4 linked regions of the Arabidopsis thaliana genome follow. The protein of the gene in region 3 interacts with the protein of the main gene of each other region in a pairwise test. Each region holds a gene or a part of one and is shown on either strand. Other genes may lie near its edges.

Region 1 (8,689 bases), on a different chromosome or scaffold from region 3:
ATATATTCCGTAAAATTAAAATAATATTTTTAATATAGTCATTATGTAAGTTAGCTCTTTCGACAAAATCATTATAAATTAGGCCATTTTGTAAGTTAGTTCTTTTATCGACAAGCCATTATAACTTAGGTAATTTTGTAAGTTAGCTGGACTATAACCAATTTTTTTGTTTCACATCTAGAGTATAAAACACATATATATTGACCGTACAACTTTAGTCAAATTAGAAACTCTGTTTTATCTGCAGAAAAGAAAAAAAAAGAGGATGAATTATGTAAATACTTCAGGATTAGAAATAATGTCATCGTATATCTCTTGATATGAATACATATTTTACTTGACTAGTACCGTAGTCGGCAGGAAAATGACACAAACAACCATCTAAAAAGATAAAGTAAGAACTAAAAAGTCTTGACATTCATTAGTTTAATCATTTTCTGTTAACATATATGGAAAAAACAAACTTCACCGTTATTTACCTGAATTTACCTATTTGGGTAAGAATTGTACCTCTGGACCTCTAGTATTTTATATACACCTAAAAATATAATTTTGGTCGGGAAAATATAACTCTGTTTAATTAATTAAATTTTCAGTATTGTGTAAGTGTAATTATAGAAATCAATTTTATCCGCGTAACAAAATAATATAAAATTATACTTTCAAATCCACGAATATATATTGTGAAGTCTCATAGTTTGCAAATAAGCATTGGTCTTCGGCCGACAAAAAAAAAAGCATTGGTCTTCGAATATTTTGAATATCGGACCAATGGTATATAATTAATAATATGTGGTATATAAATACATATTTATTTAAATCACAATAGGATATGCAATGTGTGTATATATACATATACGTAATTAAAGTCCGGGTTAAACTGATAGCATATATTATAATAGATGCATCTATAATTGTTCGTCAACAAAAGCATTATCATGTATTTTGAATTAAGCTTCCTTCATTTCTGTGAATCAAAAGGCCTCAGAAGAAGAAACTAAAGTCAAACAATCAACGGGATCCAATAAATCACATCTGGACTATATAGTATCAATACTTTCCACACTAAAAAAGCTAAGAAATTTAATAAATACATTATTATAGGGGGGAAAAAAAGGTAGTCATCAGATATATATTTTGGTAAGAAAATATAGAAATGAATAATTTCACGTTTAACGAAGAGGAGATGACGTGTGTTCCTTCGAACCCGAGTTTTGTTCGTCTATAAATAGCACCTTCTCTTCTCCTTCTTCCTCACTTCCATCTTTTTAGCTTCACTATCTCTCTATAATCGGTTTTATCTTTCTCTAAGTCACAACCCAAAAAAACAAAGTAGAGAAGAATCTGTAAAGCTCAGGAGGGATAGCGCCATGATGATCACATTCGTTATCTATTTTTTGGCGCTATCCATCCTGAGTTTCATTGGCTCTTCTTACTACAATGAAAAAGGCCGAGGCAAAACGCCTAAAATCACTTGAGAATCAATTCTTTTTACTGTCCATTTAAGCTATCTTTTATAAACGTGTCTTATTTTCTATCTCTTTTGTTTAAACTAAGAAACTATAGTATTTTGTCTAAAACAAAACATGAAAGAACAGATTAGATCTCATCTTTAGTCTCTTTCTCCGGTGCAGTCAGCCACCGTCGGGTAAGTTTCATCTGTATTTTATTAATTAATTACAATTATTAGTGTTCTTATTACCGTTTTGGTAAAATTAGTTAATTAATGTCGGTCCAAACATTCTAAACCAATTATTCTGAAAAGGGTGAACGCCAATCAGTTATATACAATATTCTTACATTAAAGTAGAATCGGAGATGTTACATACTAACCAAAAGTTACATATACTAGTATCATTTTCTTTAAGATTTGTTTAGGATTTACTCACTTTATAGTGCTCGCGGTTGGGGTCAGGGTAAGTGGGGAACAGATATGCTCTGCATGAACCACGTGGACCAACATGCATATACACAGTTACATTTATTTTTTCTAGTAGGTTCATTTGCAAATTTTCCAGTATCTTGTATGTTATCTTCATGGTGAGTTTTTTGGTCGCATATTCTTGGTGATTCTTCTTCTACGTTTTCACTTTCTTCTTCAGAGACCTTATTAATATGTTAATTGCATGAATTTATGTAACATTCAAGAAAAAGAGATCGAATACAAGAAACCGGAAATTTAATTTCTAATTTGAATTCTATGCATGTTTGTTTCTTTGCCAATTTAGTACGAATATATTTATGGTCCGGAGTTCTAACCAAAGATAGTTGCTCTGTATATAGAAGTTATACATCTCGCTTGTTTAAACTAAATAACTATTTAGTTTGTCTTGGTAGTCCAGTGACTTTCTGCAAACATTGGGATTTATAATATAGTCAAAACGTTGGGATATGTAGTATTCATTTTCGTTGTAAAAATCATTATATTTTGCAAAGGTTGCAACGTAAAACGTTGTATTGAATTTAGGAGAAAGTAGCCATTTACAATGAATTTTAGTGACAAACTGTTGTATACAGCCTGTGCCACTAAGTATGTCTATATCTAAATTTGGAATGGATGATAACCAGTATTGGTCAATAATGGATAATTTGGTATTTAGAATTACTAATTTGGTATTTTAGTGACAAACTGTTGTATGGAATTTAGGAGAACGCGTTCCCAAGCTATATATTATATGTATTTCATTCTTTCATATGTTATATTATGAATTGTTATAAAAAAGACCAATGAGCAACGGTTTAAGGTTTAATCAGTAATCGATCCGACCAATCATATACAAGTTCCTAACACATCTTCTAACTACTGAGTAAAATAGTAATGCTATTACAAAGGTTTTTTCTTTTCAAAATACAGCCTAATGCTACTACAAAATTCTAATGTTATAAAATAATCATAGGAGAAGTAAACCCCGGTATTTAATTAATACCTTACAAACTTACATTATTGATAAAGTTGAATGAAGAGTTATATGGTCCATTTAGTATTATTTACTTAATATGATACTAGTGTTAGACGTGTTACTGTATTTCAACGTGCATAATCAGGTTGTTCAAAAAGAGAGAGGATAGGTCTTCTTCTTCTGTAATTTGCTGGGACCGCAAGTCATGTGAGGCTGCTCTGCTGATGCTGCACGGCGTCGCAACTCTCTCAATAAATTCTTTTAACTAACGCTCCAATTTTCGATGTAAATTGGCTGACTTCAATTCTATGCCTTACTCTTGTACTCTATGTTTCTTTATCTATTAAAATCCAACTCTGCTTTTGAACCCAAAAAACAAAACAAAAACCAACTCTGCTGAATCATGAAACACGTCCTTGATCTTTATTTTTATTTTTTCCCAATATATGCTCTTAAGAACTAGTTATTGCTTTTGAACCCAAAAAAAGAATTCTGAGTTTTAGGATATCAAATGATCTTACAACTTTCTATATCAAGATTCTTGAACACTAGATATGCGGATTTCAAATATACTCCCAAAAATCAAAATATGCGGACCTATAATCCAAATTTGGATCCATTCAAAAAACAACTAAACAAAATTTTAAGTGTATAAAAAAAATGCAAATCCAAGTCACAAGATAACTGGAGAAAGAGATATTTCTTTTGAGTTGTTGCTAAATTGAGAAAGTGAGTGATAATACACGAATCAAACTCATGACTTACATATGAGAGTCACGGCACAACAAAGAAAAAAGATGAAGCTATCTTAAAGATACAAAGTGTAACATTGGCAGAAAAAAAAACAAAAAACAAAGTAACAAACAAACAAGCTATTTAAAAGCCCAATAAAAAGCCCATTAAAGGCCCATCCATAAGGTACAGCTAGTTTAGACATGTGACCGTTTAATCAGTTAGTGAGTAGAGATAGATAAAAAGAGTGAACATCAACATGTGGCTCTCTTTCTTCCTCCTCCGCCGAGATTTTTCTCCGTCTCTCGTTCTCCGCAATGGCGGCGGTCGCTACCTCCTTCTGTTTCTCTCCCCATCGATCGCCGTCACGTTTTGGAAACCCTAATTCATCCATTCGAAGAACAATCGTCTGTAAATCATCTCCTCGCGATGAATCTCCAGCCGTCTCCACTTCTTCTCAGCGACCGGAAAAGCAGCAGAATCCTCTGACTTCACAGAATAAACCGGATCATGATCACAAACCGGATCCTGGGTTCGTACCTTAGCCTAATAATGCTTCTTCTGTATTCAACTTTGAATGGTTTCTAATGTATTTGATTTTTTTGGGTTTAGGATTGGTAAAATTGGAATGGAGATAATGTCAATTGCATTACCTGCTGCATTAGCTTTAGCTGCTGATCCTATAACATCTCTTGTCGACACTGCCTTCGTTGGCCATATTGGTAAATACTTACTTTTTGCTTGGTTTCAACAATTTCACATTTTTCGAAAGTTCACATTTTTAACATTCATATGTGTAATGTGACAGGTTCTGCGGAATTAGCTGCAGTAGGAGTGTCAGTTTCTGTATTCAATTTGGTGTCGAAGCTCTTCAATGTTCCTTTACTAAATGTCACAACATCGTTTGTTGCGGAGGAGCAAGCAATTGCTGCTAAGGATGATAATGATTCTATAGAAACAAGTATTTTACTTTCCTTAAAGCTTATAATGAAAAATGTTTTTATTGTTTTCTTCAAAGATTGTTTCTTTACTTTGAATCTGTTGTTTATTTGTTGGTGTTAAAGGCAAGAAAGTGCTGCCTTCGGTTTCAACTTCATTAGTTCTTGCTGCTGGAGTTGGTATTGCAGAGGCCATTGCGCTATCTCTCGGGTCTGATTTCTTGATGGATGTCATGGCTATACCTTTTGTAATGTCTCTAAGCTCACGTTGAACTTCTTTTATATAAGCTGTTATCTTTGAAGTTTTGTATAGCTGATCGCTCTTCTTTCTCGGTTTGTAATTTTTTTAGGATTCACCAATGCGGATACCAGCAGAGCAGTTCCTCAGACTTCGAGCGTATGGTGCACCACCAATTGTTGTTGCATTGGCTGCGCAAGGAGCTTTTCGAGGTTTCAAGGACACAACAACGCCTCTATATGCCGTTGGCAAGTATTGCACAATCATCTATTTTTTTTGTATTTATGCATGAATGGATCTGAGGAAATAAATAGTATATGCGCATTAGCTCACTAGACCGTATATATGCATTAGCAGTTTCACATACATGTTTCTAATATGGTGAACTCTATATCAACAGTTGCGGGGAATGTACTTAATGCGGTATTGGATCCAATCCTGATATTTGTCCTTGGTTTTGGTATCTCTGGTGCTGCGGCTGCTACTGTGATTTCTGAGTATGTCCAAAAATGTGGTAATAGACTCGTTTTCTAGTAAAGCATATCTATCTTAATTTGTGGCTTCTTATGTTTCTCACTTGTCAACGTTTCTTCAGATACTTGATTGCATTTATTCTTCTATGGAAGTTGAATGAGAATGTAGTTTTGCTCTCTCCTCAAATCAAAGTGGGAAGAGCCAACCAGTACCTCAAATCAGGTAATTCCTTAAAATTTTCAAGTTTTCTTTAAACGATTCAGAAAGGCTACTATATGAAATGTATTGATTCATGCTTAGGTGGGCTTCTCATTGGTAGAACGGTGGCTTTGCTTGTGCCATTCACATTAGCTACTTCGTTAGCAGCTCAAAATGGACCCACTCAAATGGCTGGCCATCAAATCGTCTTGGAAATCTGGTTGGCTGTCTCTTTACTCACCGATGCTTTAGCCATTGCTGCACAGGTCTAATATCTTTTGCAAATCATCTTCGAAACAGACAATCTCTACCAAGATTTACTGTGATATAAGAATCCCATTAGCATGATCCAAGATTACCTTTTGGGGAGAAGATTTTCACTTATATTTTCTACCTCTATTTTCAGAGTCTTCTTGCCACCACTTACTCTCAAGGAGAATACAAACAAGCCCGGGAAGTTCTCTTCGGAGTCCTTCAAGTTCGTATTCATAATTCATTACATCCCTAGTTTATATCCTACCCTATATATTCGATGTTATAATGTACAATTGCAATCTTTTAAGTAGGTAGGTTTAGCAACTGGAACTGGTTTGGCTGCTGTATTGTTCATCACTTTCGAACCATTTTCAAGCTTATTCACAACGGATTCAGAAGTTTTAAAGATTGCTTTGTCAGGGACCTTAGTAAGATCTTATCTTTTAATCCAGAAAGAGTTTGAAAAGGGTAGTCTCAGACAATATCTAAATAATGTTGGCTGGATGCAGTTTGTGGCTGGATCTCAACCGGTGAATGCTCTAGCGTTTGTTTTGGATGGGCTCTATTATGGTGTCTCTGACTTCGGATTTGCCGCTTATTCTATGGTCCCTTTTCCTTCTTCATCAATTGGTCGTTTGATTCTCCCTTTTCTTCACCTGGAAAAAGTTGATTATTTCTCATTTTGGAACAGGTGATTGTCGGATTCATATCTTCCTTGTTCATGCTTGTGGCTGCACCAACGTTTGGCCTTGCCGGGATCTGGACTGGTTTGTTCCTCTTCATGGCGTTGCGGTTGGTTGCTGGAGCCTGGAGGTAAACAATTAATTAAAAAGACCGTTCTAGTTTCAAGTTTTCAACCCATCCGAAATTTTTCTTAAAAGGATACTGCGTCATGTTTCAGATTGGGGACAAGAACCGGTCCATGGAAAATGCTATGGTCTGCTCCAGAGAAGCCAGAATGAAGCGGATCACTGTTTTTTGCGGTATGATGCGTGACTCTTAAGTTAAGATAAATGAAAATGGAGTAAACTAACAATGTAAAAAACATAGTCTCATAGTCATAGTATATTGATGCAGCATAAATCCTAAGCTAGAATCTGAAATACTCAAAATATGAATCGAATCCACCTCCCTGGTGATAACTGGAGCTTTGAGGTTCATTATACAACAATCCGTTATCCAATTTGAATCGATCATAGCTGTAACCTTCCTCTGATTTCACTGCTGGGTTCACTATTTCATTATCAGTCATAGGATTCTGAGTCTTGTCATGGCCAAGCTCAATAGCGTCTTCATTGTAGACTACATAGTCTTTTCCACCTTCCGTTTCAATCACGCCATTACCGGCTTTGTTAGTTTCCAACCAATAGCCTCCCGAACTTTCCGCCTCCTCGTCCTTCTTCCTTCCCCCACCCAAATCTTCCGGGAAATTTAACCTGGCATAGGGTCCGTACATGACACTAGCAGCTCTGTCGTAAGCCAAAGCAGCTTCAGCTGCAGTAGCAAACGTGCCAAGCCAAAGCCGTTTACTACGACTAGAGTTTGCACCACGGTGACTCACTGGTTCACGTATCTCAGCAACCCATTTCCCCCAAACCCTTTGTCGAACACCTCTAAACCGACAAACAGGATTCTCTGGTCCACCTTTTCCTCTCATACAACCTTTCTTCGAACCTTTGGCTTGAACCCTACGAGCTCTCGCCAATCCTTCTTCCTCCCATCTCTGTAACGTCGCTTCCACTGGCTCAACCACTCTTCTTCGTCTTCTCGAGGATACAACAGAAGCAGAGGAGCTCTGTTTCGATCCGTTATCTTCCTTTTCCATTGGAAAAACACAACACGTACAAACTGTAGAAAATATTACGGAGCGCAGTACAATCACTATTAAATTTCGAACATAAAACCAAACAATAAACTATAAATTTTTGTCTGCATAGATTGTCCTAGAATTCACCAGAGCCTTCAGAAATTAAGGTGGGAACACATGTCTAGATACCGTCTAAGAGAACACGCGTGGTGCTTACGACAATTAAATGTACGGCTACAAGACACGTGGTGACTTCCCAGTTTAGGCAGATTCTGGTATGCTAGGATTTGTTTTTCAATATGTTTTGGTCATTATAGATTTCTTTGCGGCTAAGACTTTGAAAATTATCGTAAATATCGTGAAGAAATAGATATTGTAAGTCTTGGGCACCAATCCACCTTAAATTGAAATTTTACTTTTTCAGTGTTTTTTTGGCTTACGGTGCAAGCCAGCAATTTGACATCTTCCACTTATTACTTTTCTGACAAACGTGTTTCTTTTTTTCTTTGTTTCAAACTATACTATAAAAATAAATTATTATTCCATGGTTACTTTTTTGAAGACGTTTAGTCCGAGACTTTTGGTACTCTCATTGGACTCTTCCCAGCTCAAATTGCGCGCCAACTAACAAACTGTAGCTTTTGCCTTCGCAAAGAACAATTTCTAAGTCACTGGCATTGACAAATCCCAAGTTCAAGGAGATTCTAGTTTCCGAGGTCAATACAACTTAGGATATTGCTTTGCTTTTGGTTATAGAGATATTTGCGACTAAGACTTTGTACTTTTTTGTAATTTACTAATTTTCGTTGATGGAAGATGTCAAATTGGTGACTTATACCGTAAGCTAAAACCCTTAAAAAGATAAGAATGTAAGGTGGATTGTCACCCAATACTATTAATTTTAGGTAAGTAACAAATCATTTTTAAAACGAAGCTTCCTTGTTGGCTTAGGGTATACGCCACCAATTCGATATTTCATAGACATTGGGCCTTTGCCGAACTGGACTCGAAAAGAAGTAAATGAGCTTATACTGGGCCGGACTCGAGTACGAAGCCCAATACTAAAGCTGCTCATCGAATTATTTGTGCATCGCATTTGCTCCGACCCACGATTTCAAGTCAAGTCAAGTAGCGTAAATGCGTAATG
Region 2 (6,782 bases), on a different chromosome or scaffold from region 3:
TGGTAATGTTACGGGTCTAGTCACTCTAGCCATTAACTTCATGGCTACGAAAGTAATTTCACAATTTTCCGAAAATTCTGTATGTGATCATTTTTGAAACTGGTTTTACCTGATTCTTTTGATATGTTGTTGTCGGGTGCTTTGTAATATCGATCTTCTCGTATGATTGCCTCCTCTTGTCTTTCTAGTTTTTTTTTCTTATGGAATCTATCACATTATACATGTCTTGTGGTAGATTTGTAATGGGATTGGTCACACGATGTCATAGTATTCCTATGTTCCTTTTTTCTCTCCAAGGTATCTTGCCGTGTAATATTTTTCCATCTCTCAAATCTAGAGTACTAATAATTAAGAAATCTAAAGCCTAATAGATAGTGTATGGACCGACAAAAAATAATAGATAGTGTATGGAAGTATCCGAACAGCCCATTTGAGAAGCCAGCCCTTTTACGGAATCACTTCTTCTAGTATTTGGTTGTTATTCGGATAATCGGATCTTCTAATTCATGCTAGGTTTGGTAATGGTACGACGATAATGTTTGATATTATTCTAAAATAAACGATAACTATCCTTTAAAATAATATCTAAGACTTTAGAAACGCTTTATAGATTTTTATAGTCCCCACAAATAATAACAACCATGATTTTTTCTGATATCTAAAATTATAAGAGTATTTCGCATCAGAAAAAAAAAAAGAATACAATCCAAATATACTTATGAATTGTTGGAAGTAAATTTTTTAGACAAAGCTCCAATTAGTCACAAACATTATCTTTGCAACAATCACTAACTAATTTATTTTTTCTTATTCCCTTGTCCAAACTCGTATAAAGTATAAACAAATTAAAAGATAGGGTTAGGTGAATATAACATAAAACTTTGGGCGAGGGTAAGTAACTACGTAATGTAGGGGCATGGCCAAAAGGAAAAAAATAAGTATGGGTAAGAACGAAGACATGGAAAAATGTGAATTCAAACTCTCTCTTTAATTAATTTCTGTACGAATCATCGCAGAGTCGTACCATTTTCATTTTCGCCACTATTTCGTTTCGTGCCATTTGATCCAAATAATTCTAAGACATAAATTAAACTAAATTATTGGATAGAGACATGGTAACGTTTCTTGGACGCAATCATCGTAACTCGTGAATTCACACATCGTATTCATCGTTCTAATTTCGTCGTTTATAGAATTAATATAGGATATAATTTTAAAAATCCATTTTAGTGGGGGTATTTTATTTTGTCTAGACATGCACTGCACATGACATGATCCGAATATGAAATATTTATTACACGACAACTATAATGACTATGAACTGAAAATGTCGTTGAGACAATCGAATTCAGACTATTTCTTTTTCTTTTATCATAATTTATTTTAGTTTCGATAGCGAAGTATGATTCTTCTGGTTGAATATAGTTGCGGGGTTGGAAAGATAAAGGATACTTCCAAATTGCAATAGTATATATCCATAGACCATTTTTATACCTTTTTCAATTTATATCGACGCTATGATAATCTTTAAAAGGTGGTAGATAATTCAAACTCATGTGATCGACTTTGAGAATAAGCAACCAAACAACGGTGCAACTTAAAAAGAACTCTGGAATATTTACTTTTCAAAACATTTTCGAATCACTTTAAATTCATTTATATGATTTATTCTTTCTTTTTTTCCCACACATAATGAGAGGAGGAGCCTTTAAATTCTCTTCGACAAATTATTTCGTCTTTCTTTTTTGCAATTTTCAGTCTTGGATTCCATTTAAGTCGTAAGAAAATCAAGAGTTAACCAAAAACTAATTTATATGTACTTACAAAAAGAAAAGAATCAATTTGCTATTTCTTTTGCGAATATAATCCTAAGGAAACAAAAAAAATATAAATTAAATTGTAACGAACAAAAAAAAAAGATGGTCAAGAAGACATGTTAACATGCACACTAGCGTTCATGACCATATCGCAAACCGGACAAGTCCGTAACAAAGCCGAACCACCACAAACCGTACACAAACACAAATGACGACATGGTAACACCAACACACTCGCTTCTCTCTCACCGCACCGTTTACAACCACCACCAACCGCCGTTACCGCTTCACCACCACCATCACCGCAACAACTTCCACAACTCGATTCCGCATCGTCTTCTACAACGGCTGAAGCGGTTGGAAACGTTTCGAGTTGAGCAAGAACTTGGTCTAGGTTTGTTCGAAGAGTATTAGCGTTTGCTTCGTTGGTTTGAGCGATATCACGCCAAATCTGATTTTCGACGTAAAGACTCTTCACCCTCTCTTGTAAAACCCAGTTTAGGTTTCGAATCCGTACGATTTCATCGTCTTTCTCTTTTAGTTTCTTGGCTATAACGTTTTGAACCGCAGACGCTAACATCCGCGTTTGCGTTTGTTGCCTTGCTTCAATCTCTATTCTTAGCTTCTCCGTTTGCTGAGCTACGAACCTATCGATCTCTGACTGTTGTTGGTTTTGAATCTGAGATACGAGTTCAACGTTTATCAACGACGGTGATGATGAGTCAAACGCTACGGACCTCCGTTTAACCGGAGCGTTTGAGTCTGAGAATTGAAAATCTCGCTGGCGTTTTGTAGACAGAGGAGGAACAGTGAAATTGTAACTGAGACCACTTTCTGCTTTGTTGAAGTTGGCTTTCGCAGCTAAAGGCTCAACGGCGAAAGATTCTCCGGTTATTAACGGAACTTCACCGCCGGTAAACTCAAACTCGCCGTGGTTCATGTTTTCTTGAAATTTAACACAATCTCTGCAAATAACAAAAATAAAAAAGATTAGAGGAAAATAAAAACAGAGGAAGTTTGTTTGTGAGAAGAATATAAAAATGAGATTTTTACCTGTTTGGTGATATAAACTGAGAGAAAATGTTCATGTGATGAGCTTGAACAGCCATTGTTGTTGAAAAAAGCTCCTAGAGATTCTGAAACAAAGAGAGAGAGAAGAGGGAGGAGTTGTGGCGACTGGTGAAGAAATCTATGGGATTGGCTTTTATTTAAGGGAGAGAAAAAAGTCAATATTTTTTTAATTTTCTATAAATACATATTTATTACTTTTACTATTTAAATATTTTAGATATTTAGAATAATTATGAATTCAAATTAGATATTGACTTTCATGGTATATTACCAATTGTGTTTAGTAATTAAAGTTTTTGTAAATTAAATGTTAGTAAAATACAGTTGATTTTTGTAAAAGGAAAAAGAAAAAGAAACAACCAATTTTATGAACTTAAAAGGAATATAATCTAGAGAAATATAAAATATACTAAGTTTTTATTCAACAATATATACTATCTTTCTTGAAGTTTGCAAATATTGGGACGTGTAAAAAGTTTTTTTTTTGTAATATTTCTTTCTTATTTATTGATGCACTCATGCATGTTTCCTTAGCAACATCCACATAAACATATGCAAGCTTGACTAGTCAAAGAGCCATTATAAAATCAATAAATTTTTTTTTGCTAATATGTTAATGATATTAGCATAAACTATTCGATTTTTTCTTTTGTTGAAAAAACTATTAGATTTTATGTTCTTGTCCATCCTTTTTTGTATTATTTCTAAAATTTAAAGATGCAAATCCTATAAAAAAAGGTGCAAAGCTGTTTTTTCCTTAAATGCATTTTTAAAAATGTGTAAAGCTGTCTTTCCTAATAAAATTTTTATGTTAGTTCACTGTATTCTCTTCTGTAAAAAGATTCCAAATTAACCTCTCTTTAGTCAACCCATATTTTTCTTATTAACTTTTCCTTATTTTGTGATTACTGTAATTAAATTTCATATCAAAAGATAGTATTAAATATGCATACTCTTCATTTCTTCAGTTTTATTTTATTTAAAATTTAAACCATTCCCATGATTTTAATTTTACAAACTATAAAGTTACTCTCGTAATTTTATTCAATGTGGCAAAGCTCCGCTTTATATCTGCCATGTCATCTTCCACCGTGGCATATTTGGGACTTGTGATTTACTTTTCTAAATTTTCCGTGAGCTATCTTAAGATCATGTAGCGGTGCATTGTATTAAACGAAATGGCACAAAACAATAATTTAACCATTGTAAATACATTTCTAAAGTTAATATGTTTCTTAATTTTGTTTTGTCGTAACTGGTTAAGTTGCACGTGAGAAGCGTGTGGGGCCATGATGTGAAGATTGAGGCCACGTCTAAGTGGGACCAAGAAAAACTTTCTGTTTCATTTCTTCGTGAAATTTTCAATAAATTAATAATTGTTTAGAAATAAATAAAAAAGATTTATTGTTTCGGTACCACCAATTTTGTTTGCTTCTTGAATTGTCGTCTGGTCGCTTTTTAATTTTTAATTAGTAATTTCCGTATTAAAGAAAAAAAAAAGGAAAGAGAAAATCGGAATCATTCGATAATGTTATATAGTACGGACAAGTAGGTCTTGTCATAAAAGTGTGATTTCCTCGGTGTGGGACAGGTCGACCACACCAAACGAATAGTCTTTTTCTTTTCCTTATTTTCGTTTTCATGCCTCTCTCTATTTTTTTTTATTGTTAATCGATTTTTTATCCACTAAACAAACATTATCATGATGCGTATCTAATGTTGTTCATACCAATTTTTACATAGTAACTTGAGCACAAAAGAGTTAATCGATTATTTTTGTTATAGTTATTGAAAAAACACATATATATTTATTAGGGCTAGACATAAGTACTCGTTACTCGTCTTATATTCGCTACTTGATTCGTATTCGCCTTGAAAAAACAAATGCTCGTTTTTAACAAGGCAAGTAACAAGTAGTATAATTTAGATACTTGCAAGTACAAATCAAGTAACAAGTAATGAAAAAAAACTAATACTCGACTCGTTTGACTCGATACTCGTCATTATTTTACCATTTTCTATACATATATTGTATTGTTTTAGTGTTAGACACATTTTAAAACTATATTAGAAGTAAAGTAAATTTTAAATAAGTAAAAAATATGATAAATAAAATAATAAGTAATTTTAAGTAATTCGAAAGTGTTACTTGCAAGTAATTTATTTGCAAGTAATTCGCAAGTAGCAAGTAATAACTCGTAAATACTTGTAAATAACTCGTGAATATCAAGTAGTAACTCGTAAGTACATGTAAGTAACTCGCAAGTAGCAAGTAACAGGACAAGGCAAGTAACTCGCAAGGCAATCATATTTTAGCAAATACTTGAAATTGTAAGTACTCGTTTTCAATAAACCAAATACAATTACTTATTTGATTACTCGTACAAGGCAAGTCGAGTAACAAGTATCCCTAAAATAGCAAGTACTAGCCTTGCGCCCACCCCTAATACTTACGTTAAAGTGGACGATCTCAATCTCTTTTTACAACCGAGAATTGTGTAAATATCGGTTCAGTCTTTCTTTACCGATACATCATATCTATTTTGAACTCAACAACATTTTTTGGTGTAATAGAAGTTTTTCCACATATGATATTAAAAGAAAAATCAATTTAGAAGACCAAACCACGATTATTTTCCTTAAAAGTAACAGTACTGAACAACTTTGAGGATAAACCAGACTCGTCGAAAAAGACAACTTCGGTTGTCTTTTCTTTCTCAACTTCATTTGTATATATATTTTGTCGACATATTCGTTTGTCTAATTATCGATTTTGCTCCAATGTCAGAAACTAAGCCTAACATCATCACTTGTTCAGAGCTTTTTATCATTTTAGAATAGACTACTTATTTGTCCCATTATACGTTTTCAAATTCATTTTCAATTTATATTCTATATGTGGATTTCTAATTAATATTGATTTCGTAAGTTAGACAAACGAACAAGATAGATGTGGACGTACGTGGCCGAGTTCATGCTATATATGAAGGAAACGTGACAAGATGAAAACTCCTAACTTTTTAAAATCAAACAACTAGTGTGAATTGAATTCTCTAATCATGTATATAGCTAGTGTCGTCAATTGCTTTATTTTATAAACATATACATTGATTCTTTCAGTCGCGGATTAGTTATTACTAATTATTTGCGTAATAGATAGATATTTTTTTCAAATTAAGTTTCAAAAATTATAAAAACAACGAGATATTTTTTTCACCTAAGATGTTTATACTTTATAGAGACTCAAACAAATATTCAACAATTTTACATAGATGATCGAACTTAATATTTGATTTTGATCCACTTGACAATTTTACATAGATGTTTTTTTTTCCACAAAAAAAACTCCTACGTTTATATTGTCCCTTTTACAGTTAAACCTTTTCATTTTCATTTTGTTTTATATGCTATGTGTTATGTATGTACTATTTCTCTTTAACAACAGATAATGACATGACATTAATATTTACATTCATATTATATAAAAAGACAAGAAAAAATGCGGAAAGAAAGTTGAAGAACGACATATATAACTTTTGAAAACTCGAATTGGTCCATCCTTATCGGCACCAACTACTAGTAGGTGTCAGTCAGATTGATCCATCCCGGCTTGGTCTATGCACGAGTTTAACGGATGACATATACATATAAGGTCGATTCGTTTTTTTTTTAGTTCACGGGTCATTTTTTGTTTTCTTTCTAATTTTATTCTGATTCTAATTTAAGGGTTAGTCTGGTTGATCCGTTTTTTAATATGTATATTATGATTTTATGATAAATAATTACATATCTATATATATTTATGATGAATATGAAACAAGTCTAAAAATATAAATATAAAAACATGAAAGGGTCATATATATTGATTGGTTGATTCTCCGAAGCCACCACCAC
Region 3 (7,704 bases):
GATATGCATTTCTATATTGAACATTAAATTAGCCCATCAAAGGTATTAAAACATGCTGCATTAGGTTTATGCAAAACGTTCTTACCTAGTAGGCTCAGGTCCCACGGCTTCACAAAGCTCGTAGAGTTGATTTGCAACCATATAGCGCACACGCCAAGACTTATCCTGCTCAGTGAAAAAGTACAAAGATTAAGCATTTCTTTTAAATGTAGATCATCAGCATAAAAGCCTACAGACATAATCACCTGCGAGAAATTAACAATCACGGGAAGAATGTGTTGGACACAATCCTGAGGCTCCAACAATTTCCCAAGAGCAGCACAACCCTCAACGGCCAATAATCTAACAGAATCTTGATCTGATATGAAAAAAACGTAAGATGAAATTCGACAAATATATATGCTGTAGAGTAAATAAACGCTCAGTGTTCAATACCATCTTGAGTAAGATCCTCAAACATGGACATAACGTCGGTCTTCAAATGCGCTGATTCAACCGTAGCAGCAAATTTCCCAAGATTAGTTGCTGCAGCTCTCCTTACCATCGGCATATCATCCTGACAAAGCTGAGTATACAACGATCTTAACTCAGTCTTCAACATATCCGGCGCGCTCGGGTATGCAATATGGAAAACACCGCAAGCCGATACTCTAGCTGTGAACCACTCACCAGCGGCAAGTCGCTTAACTAACGAAATGAAATGATCAACCAAGTCACTCTCCCTCATCTGAGAGCCAACTCTACAAAGCGACTCAACAGCTTTCTCCCTAACACAAGTTTCTTCGACAGTCGAAAGAGTTTCCAAAGGTGGAAGAAGAACATGTGCATACTCAACACCACCAACATAAGGAATAAACACACCCAATTCTTCAGCCATTGCTAATAAAACCTCATCATCATCGTCATTGTTTTCGCTAAGGAAAGGGATCAATTCCTTTCTAGTCCTCTCTTCCCCAAGAGCACGAGCGATCGTAGAAAGCCTTCTGATGGAATTCAATCTTAGCTGAATATCATCGTTTTTTAACTCGTCTATAAGTACGGCGATTGGGTACAACGGCTCATCGATCATAGACATCTTCAACAACACCAACAACAAAATTACAGCATAATTATAACGAGATCGTAAAATCAATTTCCAGAGCCCAATTCTCAGGAGATGATCAATTAGGCGAATCTAAATTACCATTTCTATCAAAAGATAAACAGACCAACAATCAAATCGGAAATTGGGTCTTACCTCAACACAAACACGGCTCAATTTTCTCCTCAACGAAACACAAAATTTCGTTCGACCTACGAAGAAAAAAAAGAGGATCTAATGGCGAAATGTCTCTTTTCTTTATTGAGAGCAAACGACGACGTCTTTATTTAATTGGAACCATACCCTTCTTAAATGGGCTTTAACGGGCCTTTTGGCCCACGACGTTTATGCTGTTTCGGTCAGGACTTTACTTTTGCGATTCATTTCTTGCAATTTACCAATTTTATAGAGTTTTCACTATTCCTTCGTGAAATATAAATTCAAATGTGGAAAAAACATTACCGATACAAATGATAGAATTTTCTAAAAATGACATAACAAAATTTCCATAATATAATTACATTTGTTATAAGTACAACGACAATATGTGTGTATACTAACAAATTAAATTGATTCATCTTCGAGATTGAGAAACAAATGATATGCAAGTAAACCAAAAACAGGAACAAACCTTAGATACTTCACCAATTCAATCTTGTTCTTCTTCACATTTTGCAGGTTCTCTCCAATCAACCATGGCTGAAAGATTGTGTACAGACATATATCCCATATAAACGCGTAAGCTAGTCTCTCCGATCCCAAATAACCAATCAGATACTGCCATCTGTCCATGATTCCACCGAAATCACCATCTGCTCGACCGTAGAGAGACCACAATGCTGATATCAGACACACCGTAGCTCCGGTCAGACCAACTATTGGTGCACCTTTGGTCATCACTTCACCAAGTTGAGACCTTTTGCTTGGTTTATCATCTGGGTCAGCGTCATTGAGCCGTAAAGCCATGTATGGGATTAGAAACGCTGTTTGCAACATGAGATCAACAGAACCAATAATCTAGTTTAGAGGGTTGCTTTCCAGAGAAACTGAACTTCTTAAATAAAAACTAAAGTTGTATTTACTGTTTGTAAGGAACATCATGAGACTCCATAAGACGTCAAGAGAGCTTTTGTATCGATTTCTCTTTCGGTCTGTGTATAGCAATGGAGCAAACATGAGTGTCCAAGCTATTACAAAGTTGAATAACCCTTCAGCCATCTGTTGAATTTAAAAAAAAAAAAACAATTTCAGAACGATTTACTTTCACTAATACACAAAAACCTGTTCAGCTCAAAGGTACAAACCGGGTGAAGAACAGGAGCTTGTAAGAAGTGAATACCAGCTGTTCTGTCACAAAGTCCATAAGCAAGAAACTTTCATCAAAGATCAAACAGGTAAACGAAATCGATATATCTTAAGGCTGAACATACCGGCGTTTGTAAGAGGCAAGACAAAGAAGAAATTCAGAGAAAGTCCCAAAAGAGAATTCACTGTCTCTGAACTAATTGCCCAAACTGGATCTCCCTGTTGATCATAGAGATTATTTTCTAATTAAGCAACCATACAAGATTACACAATCTAAGATAATGCTAACCACAAGCACATATCATGATAATCTATAGAGAGAAGAGCAAATCTCAGTAATAAGTTGAAGATAACAACAAAACTATTCGATTCTCAAAGCATTCAAGCAGAGAAATTGAAAAAGTTCTCATTCCTAAAATCATCCAAAATCCAAATTACTTTTGAAGATTCATCAATGTGATGCTACATAAACCTTCCAAACATTCACATAATCCATAGATAAATTAGTAGCCACATAGAACTATGGCTATATCAGGAACTATGAGTATGATTCAAAAAGAACAAACCTACTAGATTCTCAAAACATTCAAGCAGAGAAATTGAAATGGTTCTCAATTCCTAAAATTATCCTAAATACTTTCAAGATTAATCAATGTGGTGATTCTACATAAACCTTAGAAACATTCACACAGATATATCAATGTCTCAATCTCAGGAACTATGAATACGAATTTTTGAAGGTATTATCACTCACAGGAGCGTAAGGGAGAAGAAAGAGCCATAGTATATACACAGCTTCACTAGTCCATAGAAGATACCGAACAATTCTCCTTATAGAATCATCTTCAACCTCTACCGTCGCCGTCTCCGGTTTCCGGCGAGCACAGCATAAGAAGGAACTGTCTCGTGTTCGTAATTTGAAACGATTCGTAGACTGCCATGGATTGTAGCAGCGATCGACTGTGGAGATTTCTCTACTCCGAAGAAAATGGCGGCGAATTTGTGGCGATTTGATTTGGGAACTGTGGAGACGGTGACGGAGATATGTCAACGTCGGTGAGGTTATCAGAATCATCGTCGTCCCTTCACTGCATTATCCACCGTTTAGTCGGAGAATTTTTTTTATTTATCTGAGAGAGACTTGCTAAAACGGCAGCGTATTGGTTATCTAAATTTGAAAGCAACGACGTCGTTTTAATTGAATCGAATTACACATTACAGTTGGCTTTAAACAGGCCATTGGCCCACGGCCTTATAAAACGCCGTTTCGGTGAGACACTGAAATTGGATAGTCACATCATTATTATGGGTGCTAAGCCAAATATCTTTTTCATCATTATTATTCGACATTCCTCAATTTTCGTCAACTTCTTTTAACAACCCCAAAATCATGGTTATATAACTTTGCTTTATATCTAGAGGCTTAGTTAAATAAATAAATAAATTCAAAATTAAAAGAACATTGAATCATGTAGGCAAGATTCAATTTCAACTATTTTGGTTAATTTTATTATTTATTTTCATTTAATTATTGTGGAACGTATGATTTATTCATGTAGATAGTTTTCTAATCTCATTAGAATATCTTATCATATAATTTAAGTGTGGACCAAAACATAATTTATTTCTTCTACGTTATTTCTCTTTTTTTTTTGTGTGCAAAATACTTGTATTCATTCAATCAAGAAAGAACCAAATACAAAGAGAACTGACTTATTTCTCTATATGTAAATTATTGAAGAAATTATACCTTTTAAAAAAATAAAAATGTATCGAGATACATTTAAATTTCTGTTGTATGTAATGTGTATACGTGTAATCCAATTTCTTGGGATTCTATATAATTATTTATGTTGTTATGGTCTGTACAAAAATATCACATGCTTATAATATAAGAGATATTTCTTTTATACGTATGTATTCTTTTAATGGTTTTTAATATAGCAATATTAAGATTCATTGTTCATCTAAATAAGTTTTTATTAGTTAGCGCAAAAATAAAAACTCGTTTGGAGAAACAAAAAATGGTTAAAGCGATTAAATATTGTTTTTCAATACATTAAAATTGTTTGCCATCTTCTAAAGTTGTTTACTCACTTCAGAATACATATGATACTCTCTAATGGGAAGAATCCCATGAGCCAAAACCAATTGTCTTTGGAGTAGAAAAAACTTATAGATCTTTTTGTGGAATCATAACCCTAGATTCAGTAGGGTTTATTGAAAAAGGAAAAGATAATACATATCCTAACAAGACATATCCAAACTAATCCACAAAAAAACTAGACGATTCGTGATATATTGGAGATATCAAATGTACGATGTGGCTTCGAATTCCTGCCAAATTCAAAGGGATCTAAAAGGTCTTTAATGATTCTTCATATGTCATGAATTTCTACTACATTGGGATGAAAGTAAGTTAGTTAGTTTTTATTTGTTTGCTTTTCATTTTTGCTAAAATTTTTGATGAATTTTATCAAATATAAAACACAGTAGCGTAGACTATATTGTTAAATTTTTTTTGATGAATTTTATCAAATTTAAAAATACAATAGCGTGATTTTGAGAATAAAGCCTATAATTTTCCTTCATACGGCTTATTGAGTATACATTAGAACTATATTTTTTACAATAGGATAACATAGTTCTGAAATGAGTAAATTGAAAAGAGTTTTTGAATTGATTGAAGTATGATTCTGGTTGTTTAGAAAAAAAAAAAAAATTAATAAAAGAATTAAACCATTATGTGTGAACTGTGAATCCAAATATTGTTCTTTTTCTCACTTTTATTAGTTAATCACTGATATATCTCATCAATCATAGATATTGTTTGCAAAAATACTTAAACCGTTTTGTGTACATTACGATCACAAAACAAGAGAATCACATAACCTTTTTTTCAAACTAACTTTTTTTATTAAGTTGAATCAAATAAGTTTACTTCTATATTATTTAATTATATCTCTCTACAACATTTAAAAACCAACACGTAAATTCGTATTAAAATAATATGGAAATTGTTTTTTCAAAATCCTCTACACATATAAGTTATTTGAATCATTAAAACGGAGTTACAAACTTTTTTTCTTCGATTATCAATGTTTTTCTCCTAAAGAACAAATGAAATCGACGACAACCTAATTTTTTTTGGCATGTCTGCCAACAAAACTCATAGCCATCAGATTGAACTGTCTTGTAATCAAACTTGAACTGTCTCCATCACTTAATCTTTGTACGCAGTTTTTATAACTTCTATATTTAATCATGTAGAAGATTTTAATTAGATAAATTTCAGTTACAAAAAGTGGATATTAGACATTGCGAAAAGAGTATTGACATGCAGCAAAATTGGGTAAAGTTTGTCACACTATTTAATTGAATATACTTGAAAAATAACTATTTATCTGGTAATCTTGTAAATAAAGATATAATAATAGATATCTTTAAATAATTGACTATGATTTATAATTTTATATGGTGAAAATAGAAATAAATTTGGTAAATAAGATATTGTAGTTGGCACATACACAAAAATAAACTTCAAGTTAAACCAAATTGGACAACCTATTGAAAAAAAAAAAAAACAGAAACAAAATCATGTACCGAAATAGTGTTCTAAGTCATCATTCTGACTCTGTCTATATAAAGTTATAAACGTATGTGTTCTCCAATATATTCAGCCAGAAAGAAGAGAATCTTATACTAATTCAATGGCTACTTTGTGTATAGGTTCAGCTCCTATTTACCAAAATGCATGTATCCATAATTTTCGTCTTCAACGTCCTCGTCGTTTCATATCCAAATCCATGACAAAAACGATGCCGGATGCTAATCCTCTTGACCTCCGTCGACGCTCGGGCAACTATCAACCTTCTTCATGGGACCATAGTTATCTCCTCTCCATCGAGAACAAATATGTGGTAAAGTATTCGTCATTATTAACGTTTCATTTGGTGACGTTTTTAATTACAAAAGTTGTTACTACACATGTAAATATTTTGGGAAAACTGACATGTGCATGGTTTTATTGGATCAATATTATCTGACAGACTATTTTTCTCATGAACTCTGGTTAGTATACATTTCATACATAGATATATATATATATATATATATATATATAAGAACATTTGGTTATACTTTTTTGTTAAAGGTATTAAGATAACTAATGTATTAAATATTTAACAAAAATGATTTATATATGCTATTAGATCATAAATCTGATTTTCTTTCTCTAAAATATCTCTTAGTAGCTAGTATTAAAGATGACTTACTAATTAGTTATAATATGATGGATACAGAATGAAAAAGAAGTGATAACTAGACATGTGTTGAAGAAAAAGGTGAAGAAGATGCTAGAGGAAGTAGAGACGAAGAGCCGTCTCGAGAAATTAGAGCTCATCGATGATTTACAAAAGCTTGGGGTTTCGTATCATTTTGAGCAAGAAATAAATAACATTTTGACAAATTTTCATCTTGAAAATGGAAAAAATATTTGGAAATGTGACAAGGAAGAAGATTTACATGCAACCGCACTCGAATTCCGACTTCTTAGACAACATGGTTTTGGTGTCTCAGAAGGTTAGTATTTTCACACTCGGTAAAAACGAAATGAAAAAATTCTATAAATTAGTTTCACTGTATAAATATCATATGTAACTAAAAAGACCATGCATTTCAGATATATTTGATGTAATCATCGACAAAATCGAAAGTAATACGTTCAAGAGTGACAATATAACAAGTATCATCACTCTATACGAAGCATCGTATCTCTCCACGAAATCGGATACTAAATTGCATAAAGTCATCAGGCCTTTTGCAACAGAACAAATAAGAAATTTCGTTGATGATGAAAGTGAAACTTACAACATTATGTTACGTGAGATGGCGATCCATGCGTTAGAAATACCGTACCATTGGAGAATGAGAAGGCTAGAGACGAGATGGTATATAGATGCATACGAGAAGAAACATGACATGAATCTTTTTTTGGCCGAATTCGCCAAAATCGATTTCAATATCGTACAAACTGCTCATCAAGAAGATGTCAAATACGTTTCCTGGTAATAGAGATTAATAGAAGGAAAATATATAAATGCTGGTTTTGGTAAATCTCACATCAATATTTTCATATATATACTCTTTCTAATCCTCTCCTTTTAATTGTATGAAGTTGGTGGAAGGAAACAGGTTTGGGTAGTCAACTTCACTTTGTAAGAGACAGAATTGTTGAGAATTATTTTTGGACCGTTGGAATGATATATGAACCACAATTTGGATATATCCGACGGATCGTGGCTATAGTTGCTGCACTT
Region 4 (6,777 bases), on a different chromosome or scaffold from region 3:
CATTAGAGAATTGACTTTTAAATCTTTGTAAGTGTTCCAACAATCAATTCAGAGAGCCATTTGGAAAAAGTAGAAGCAATATATTATGAAATCGAAGAAAATGGAAACATCCATGGGTTTGTAAAAAAAAATCCTAAGAGAACATAAACTAGCATAAGAAAGAAAAGAACAAATTCAATTGGAGAATCACTGTTGCTGAGGCAAAGGAGACTTCAATTCCTGGTAATTGTGTAGACTTCCAGTGAAATCAGTGAACAAACCATCAACACCGATCTTATTGAGCCAATAATCATACTCTAGGTAAGGGTCCTGATTAAACTCTAAATGCAGAAACTGGTTCTCATTACGGTATGTGTATGGATGGACCTAGCAAAAACATTATTCAACGTGAAGTTTAATGAAACAAATCAGTGATGATAGTAAGAGAGTGGAGACAGGAGTTCAAGTCCTACACACAAACCTGAAGATTACGCGAATGTGCTCTCGCAACTAAATCTGTTGGTGTCATGAGACGGTTATTGTTCACAGGAACAATTGTGTCTTTCCATGGACCAATCCCAATTACATATGGTTTAATGTAATCCAAATATGCGTCTGATGTGATCTCTGCGTAAGTCTGCATTCACATTCATTACCTTATGTATAAGCAATTTTGACATAATGAGAAAGGAAGAAAGTGAATATGTAAATACCTTATTAGTGTCTTCGGTAAGAATAGTGACATCGTCGATCAAAAACAATTTTGGTGAGTCTGTCATGTTTGAAATGTAAACTAGCGAAGTTGCTGCAAAAGACTGAATAAATATTGGCTGTTTTAACCAATCTTCAGACAGATATGAGCCTTTGTATCCATATTTCTTCAAAGTTTCCACAAATTTATCTTCAAATTTTTTACCATCCGCCCACTTCACCTGCACAAGTTTCCAAATACAATTTAACATCCTCTCCATTTGTTATCATCAATGACTAAAAGTTGAAGCTAAGATTTGATGGTTTGCTTACTTGCTGATTCATGAAAACCGGATTCTTGATCTCTGGATATATCCCAACCACTCTAGGTGCATCCAGTGCTATCGAAATATACTCGTCGAAGGTAATAATCGGGAATTTACCATTGTATTGTTGATCCCTGAAAGGATACCTCTGCTTTGCACCAAGTGTTTTCAGCTCTTTGAGAGTAAAATCAACTGTTCTTGGAATGTTCAATCTCATCGTCAAAATTTGAAAAAAATGAAACTATATCAAAACAAATGATAATGGAATGTTTTTAGTTACCAGTGAAGAAGCCGGTCATGTTCATTCCTTGGACTTCATAAGTCCTCTTACGGTCTGCAAACTCCTTATGGTCTGCAACATCGGTTGTATCATCGAGATTAACATCGTGGTGACATATAAGAACACCGTCTTTGGAAGACAAAATATCGGTTTCTATAAAATCTGCACCCTCCTCTATGGCCCTCTGCAATCAAAAAAACCTTGTGAAACCAGACAAAATTAGTGTAAAGGTAAGAGACTTTTGTATAGATCCAATACCATATATGCAGGAGCAGTTTCTTCAGGGAGCTCTCCGTTTGATCCTCTGTGTGCAAGGTTGTAAGGACGGGAAGTCTGAAGTGGTTTCTTGGTTGCATGTTTTGCTTCGCTTGGGAGACGATACAAAGGCCTTGAGGCACAATTAGCAACCAACAATGACAGTAAAAGCAATGGTAGAAGATCTGCAAAAATTATAACAAAAATTGCTTTAAACGAAGAATCAACTTAGACATAGAAACAATGGAGATTTGACACTTACACTTGAAGGCCATGACTGAATTTGAGCTAGAAAAATTCCTCCAACGACCACACTGCATGAATCCAACATTATATAGATAGACCTGCAACTTATCTTTAGAAGATTTAGCCAAAAAATCGTAACAACCCAATCAGCATTAAGAATATTCCTCTGAGAAATCTAGTATGCCAATAGAAGATAAACTCCGTGTTGTTTGAAAGTATATTCTTCTTCTATTCACTAGGTTTTAGTTTTACATTTTAAATGATCGCAGATATCATAAGGCAGTGTAGTTTTAGAACGAAGTGAAGTTGCAGATCCAGATTGTATTGCTATGTTCTAGTCTTTTGATCCTTTGTTAATTACAAAATGTACTTGCTTGTCGATCATGACAAGCCAAGTTTGTAAAACAATCTCTGGTTGAATGAAATTGTCGATGATAAAATGCAATCACGAAGCGGTTGTGAATGGAAAATTAACTCTTTTATAGCATCCCAAGACACAAATCAGAAACGAGTTCACACCAATTCTAGAGAAGAAAATACAAGAGTTTGAGAGAGTGAAAACTAAAGAGAGGCTCCTCCATTCTTCTCAAACTCCCATGATCCTCCATTCTTCTTCTCAAACTCCCATGAGATCCCCATAGCTACGCATGAGGACGACTCCTCCTGCAAACATACCAAGTGCTCGCAGAAGTTTCTGCAACCAAAAGGAATTCGTATGAGACAGATTTCGATCCAAATACTTCAAAGGCATGAACTATAATAAACCCTAAATCTCTAAGAGACCCAACATCCCCAAATTCCCATTCGAACATCCAAATACTTCAAAGGCATGAACTTAACTTGTGATTGATAAACCCTAAACCTCTAAGAGACCCAACATTCCCATTCGAACACACAATTTCATAAGAAGAAGACACAGAGATAAGATAAGGTCATCTGATTTGGCCTATCGAAGCATAGGAGAGAAAATCAATCCTACGTTAAATTCTGAAACCCAAAACGAACTCATTAAATTCAATTCCCATTCGAACACACAATTTCATAAGAAAGACAAAAGAATCACATTGTACGCTCAATTGAATCAATTTGTAAATCCTAAACCGTAATTCAAAATCGCTGTACAACTCATTAAATTCAGCCGAAAGCCCAGAATCTAATCATGAAACATACAAGAGAATCGAGACTTCGATATTCAATAGACAATCAAGTCGGAATTAAACGAAAGAGAGAATGTATGAAGGTTACCATGTTCACCGCCCATTTTTGTTCATCATGAACCTCGGAGTGCCAGAGTGCTTTCATCTTTTCGATAGAGACAACGTTGTTCACCATCTTGCTGCTGAAAAATCGAAACTTTTGATCGTCGAAAAAAGAAGAAGCTAGGGCTTTTAAAACGACGAATTGGGATCGGGAAATTTTAGTCGGTTAACTTATTAAGGGTTTACGTTTTGTTTAATTACCAAACTAACCTTTACTAATATACTAATAACCGGTAAAAAGTGATGTGATTTGGATTGATTTCAACCGGAGAAGAGTTAACCACTCGCCGAACGACACGTGTTCAACACAATCCTATTCCTCCTAGCAATCTCAAAGCTTGTGTGATCTACAAGCTCTTGGTTTCTCCATTGAAGAAAAAGCTTTGACAAAACCAGGGAAAGAGACAGAGAGAGATAATGGCGGCTAAACTAATCTGTTCGTCTTTAACAGTGCATTCAATGGCAAATAAGAAGCCATCACCTTCTGCTGCAACAAGAACAATAACCTCAAAGAAGGTAAAAGTTGAAAATCAAAATTTATCTTCTTATATGTCCCAAAATCTAATCTCTTTGTTATGTTTGGCAGAGCACAGCGACTCCACAGGTGAAACTGCTGACAAGAGTCGAGCAGCTCAAGCTTCTGACCAAAGCCGAGAAAGCAGGACTTTTGTCTTTAGCAGAGAAATCAGGTTTCTCTCTATCGACCATCGAGCGTCTTGGATTGCTGACCAAAGCAGAGGAGTTCGGCGTTTTGTCTGCCGCCACAAACCCGGAAACGCCTGGAACGTTATTCACTTTGAGCCTCGGTTTACTCCTTCTTGGACCGGTTTTTGCATATGTGGTTCCTGAAGATTACACTTGGGAAGTAGTGATTCAGGTTCTTGTGGCTCTACTCTCTGTTCTTGGTGGCTCTGCTGCTTTTGCTGCTTCTGGTTTTGTCTCCAATTTGCAGAAATCTGATTAGCCCGATCGTTTTTTTTTTGTATCAAATATATTTACCCGGTGTAGCAAGAGACTTTTCTGCATTTAAGATGAAAACTTTATAATGTATTTGATCTACATTGTATCAACCAGTCATTTTCACTATTTTCTATCTATGTAAATGGTTTCATATACAGAATCCAAGAGAAACGTTTTGAATTTCAATACGTTTACTTATTGTTTTTGTTATGTGCAACAAGAAGAAGTTGTCTGTCACAACAGAACATGAAGGGTTTGAATTTTCCAATAGACTAGACAAAACGTTACAGTATAATTAGCAAAAACAAGTTTTTTTCATCAACAGATCAACTAAAATTGTGGTATCCATTAGGTATAAATAAGAACAACATATATCTTTCTTTTTATCTGAAAACAAACCAAACTTAAACACTTATAAAAATCTAAAAGGACTAGTAACAATGGCCAGTTTGAAAGTTTTTTCTTTTGCTTTGATCCTTGTTCTCACTTTCTCAGTTGGTACGTCTTCTCTCTTATAACTAGGGGTATTTTCTCGAGTGTTTATAACACTAACAAACTTATTTTTGTGTTTCAATACAAACTTGTTACTTTAATTACAAAATTCCATGAACTCATATTAGGCAAAACTGTTTCAATTTTGTGTGATATTGGCAGATGTTGAAGGATATAATGTAGAGAGTGGTGGTTCCTTGTGTTGTAATAACCACCCGAAATTTGGAAAGTGCAACACAAACAATGACAATCAGAGATGTAACCGTTGGTGTCACAATGGATGCGGGAATGGAAAAGGCGATTACTGCAAAGCTATGTCTCACGGAGGACTATGTCATTGTTATTGTTAACTCACAATTAAAAAATTTATGCATGCGTTAATGCGTTTGTTTGATTACTAACATATGTATGAGTATGAAACTATGAATATCCCATGACTTCATAAGTAATAAGACCACAAAGCCAAAGAGTTTATTATATACTCTCAAAATCTCACCCAACTTGATGTCAGTTTCAATTTATAAAGGGCTTTTATAAAACCATGAATCATGTATTCTGTAACATTTTTATAATATAATATAATTGATTTGGTGTTAAAAAAAAAAAAAAATCTCATCACCACATAATCTCAATTTTTGTAACCAAACTAGTAGACTTGGATGTTAAATCTCGGTTTAAATGTTTGACCAATCCACTATCTCAGACCGGTGTAACCAAAGATGTGTAACAAACTCTGTGATGATGAGATTGTTAAGTAGGCCCAAAACTAAAATTGAATCCATACACATATTTCAAAAGAATAATATGTTATTTTGGGCCAACTATAATTGACAAGATATGTAACGATATTTGACTGGAAGTGTAACTATAAAACCTTAGGCCCAACTATAATGGATTCAAATTTTGTATTGGGCCTACTTTAACAATAATCTCATCATCACAGAATCTCAAAATCATTGACGACGTGACGTCTCTCTTCTCTCCGAGTTTTTGTAACCAAAGCAGTACACTGGGAGGTTATTTATCGGTTTAAAGTATTGAACCAATCCAATATATGAGACCGGTTTAATAATCCTTCGATTTCGATTCGAACTTTGGTTTCATCTCCCCAAATCGAAGCGAAGGTCTCTCAACAATGGCGAAATCAGTGTCGACGGCGGCTTCCTCGCTTGTGCAAAACCTTAGGCGGTACATCAAGAAGCCATGGCAGATCACCGGACCTTGCGCTCACCCAGAATACCTCGAAGCTGTTCCAAAGGCGACGGAGTATCGTCTCCGATGCCCCGCTACGATTGATGAAGAAGCAATCGTGCCTTCCTCGGATCCAGAGACCGTATACAACATCGTATACCACGGCAGAGATCAGCGCAGAAACCGCCCACCGATCCGGCGATACGTATTGACGAAGGACAACGTGGTTCAGATGATGAACGAGAAGAAGAGTTTTGACGTCTCGGACTTCCCTAAGGTTTACTTGACCACCACAGTCGAGGAGGATTTGGATACGCGTGGTGGAGGCTACGAGAAATAATCAGGTGATTATCAAATTTGAGTTTTTTTTTTCTTGTGTTCGGATTCATTTGATTATTGGATTATGAGCTGATGTAATCAGGTTTTGGACCTTGTGGTGGATATATTGATTTAGTTTCTTCGTAATGGCATTGGAATTTTCGACTTTAGTTTTAGGGTTCGTATCTAATCTCAAGGCTGACTAGATAACTGTGGGGAATTCTGGATTCTAGATTTGTTGCAGTTAAAGTTTCTTAATTGGAAAATGAATCTTGACTTCTGCAAGGTTGAAATTTTAGGCTTTAGTGTTTTCCCAAGTAATATAGCATGAGTGATGTTGTGATTACCGATTCGTGTAAGGCTCTAGGTGAATGCTTTTGAATTTAGGAATTAGGAATCAAGCTTTGTTATATGGCTAAGTGCATTATTGGCTTCTGGTTTGATTTCTAAAGTTGTACACTTTCTTACCAAGTTCTTTCCGAGTGACTGAATAACGTTTCGATTGGGAATTGGGGATGTCACTTAGTGAAATTGGGGTCATAAGCTAGTGGGCTAGGTCATAACTTAAACTTATGCTCAAGAGTGAGCCATCGTTATACCAATTCGATTCTACTAAATTTACAGTATAGTAAGCTTTTTCTAGGTTTTATGGTCGTTTTTGAAGTATTTTTCTCTCTGTGAGGTTAGAATCCAAACATTGATGAGCAGTTCTAAATTAAAGCTCTTAGGTGGAGGAAGAACATGATGGCATCAGGGGGGGAATTGTTTGGACCTTTTGTCC

What was found.
Region 1: the proteins of AT3G25805 (region 3) and AT2G38330 interact in a protein complementation assay, tested with the Arabidopsis thaliana proteins (one large-scale study listed by BioGRID).
Region 2: the proteins of AT3G25805 (region 3) and RING interact in a protein complementation assay, tested with the Arabidopsis thaliana proteins (one large-scale study listed by BioGRID).
Region 4: the proteins of AT3G25805 (region 3) and AT5G08050 interact in a protein complementation assay, tested with the Arabidopsis thaliana proteins (one large-scale study listed by BioGRID).

Annotation. Positions count from the first base shown.
Region 1 is NC_003071.7:16,060,622-16,069,310, forward strand, and holds AT2G38330 (MATE efflux family protein), read left to right. Parts: upstream 1-3,881; 5' UTR 3,882-3,949; coding exon 3,950-4,164; intron 4,165-4,244; coding exon 4,245-4,354; intron 4,355-4,440; coding exon 4,441-4,593; intron 4,594-4,696; coding exon 4,697-4,818; intron 4,819-4,920; coding exon 4,921-5,056; intron 5,057-5,208; coding exon 5,209-5,305; intron 5,306-5,403; coding exon 5,404-5,504; intron 5,505-5,582; coding exon 5,583-5,746; intron 5,747-5,886; coding exon 5,887-5,958; intron 5,959-6,046; coding exon 6,047-6,163; intron 6,164-6,244; coding exon 6,245-6,340; intron 6,341-6,426; coding exon 6,427-6,548; intron 6,549-6,636; coding exon 6,637-6,697; 3' UTR 6,698-6,816; downstream 6,817-8,689. Other genes in the region: DREB19 (Integrase-type DNA-binding superfamily protein), read right to left, coding at 6,826-7,560; AT2G38350 (uncharacterized protein), read left to right, coding at 7,720-7,770, 8,448-8,687.
Region 2 is NC_003075.7:10,711,710-10,718,491, forward strand, and holds RING (SBP (S-ribonuclease binding protein) family protein), read right to left. Parts: upstream 3,037-6,782; 5' UTR 2,927-3,036; coding exon 2,871-2,926; intron 2,783-2,870; coding exon 1,924-2,782; 3' UTR 1,701-1,923; downstream 1-1,700.
Region 3 is NC_003074.8:9,424,709-9,432,412, forward strand, and holds AT3G25805 (uncharacterized protein), read right to left. Parts: upstream 3,570-7,704; 5' UTR 3,462-3,569; coding exon 3,141-3,461; intron 2,606-3,140; coding exon 2,512-2,605; intron 2,424-2,511; coding exon 2,386-2,423; intron 2,300-2,385; coding exon 2,164-2,299; intron 2,065-2,163; coding exon 1,646-2,064; 3' UTR 1,530-1,645; downstream 1-1,529. Other genes in the region: PP2AA2 (protein phosphatase 2A subunit A2), read right to left, coding at 86-165, 246-358, 436-1,075; AT3G25810 (Terpenoid cyclases/Protein prenyltransferases superfamily protein), read left to right, coding at 6,097-6,306, 6,688-6,967, 7,068-7,452, 7,563-7,704.
Region 4 is NC_003076.8:2,574,966-2,581,742, forward strand, and holds AT5G08050 (wiskott-aldrich syndrome family protein, putative (DUF1118)), read left to right. Parts: upstream 1-3,245; 5' UTR 3,246-3,452; coding exon 3,453-3,551; intron 3,552-3,621; coding exon 3,622-3,999; 3' UTR 4,000-4,240; downstream 4,241-6,777. Other genes in the region: GDPD6 (PLC-like phosphodiesterases superfamily protein), read right to left, coding at 187-366, 461-616, 693-911, 1,003-1,187, 1,276-1,459, 1,534-1,715, 1,793-1,850; TOM5 (mitochondrial import receptor subunit TOM5-like protein), read right to left, coding at 2,393-2,470, 3,022-3,108; AT5G08055 (Defensin-like (DEFL) family protein), read left to right, coding at 4,436-4,493, 4,650-4,837; AT5G08060 (furry), read left to right, coding at 5,623-6,018.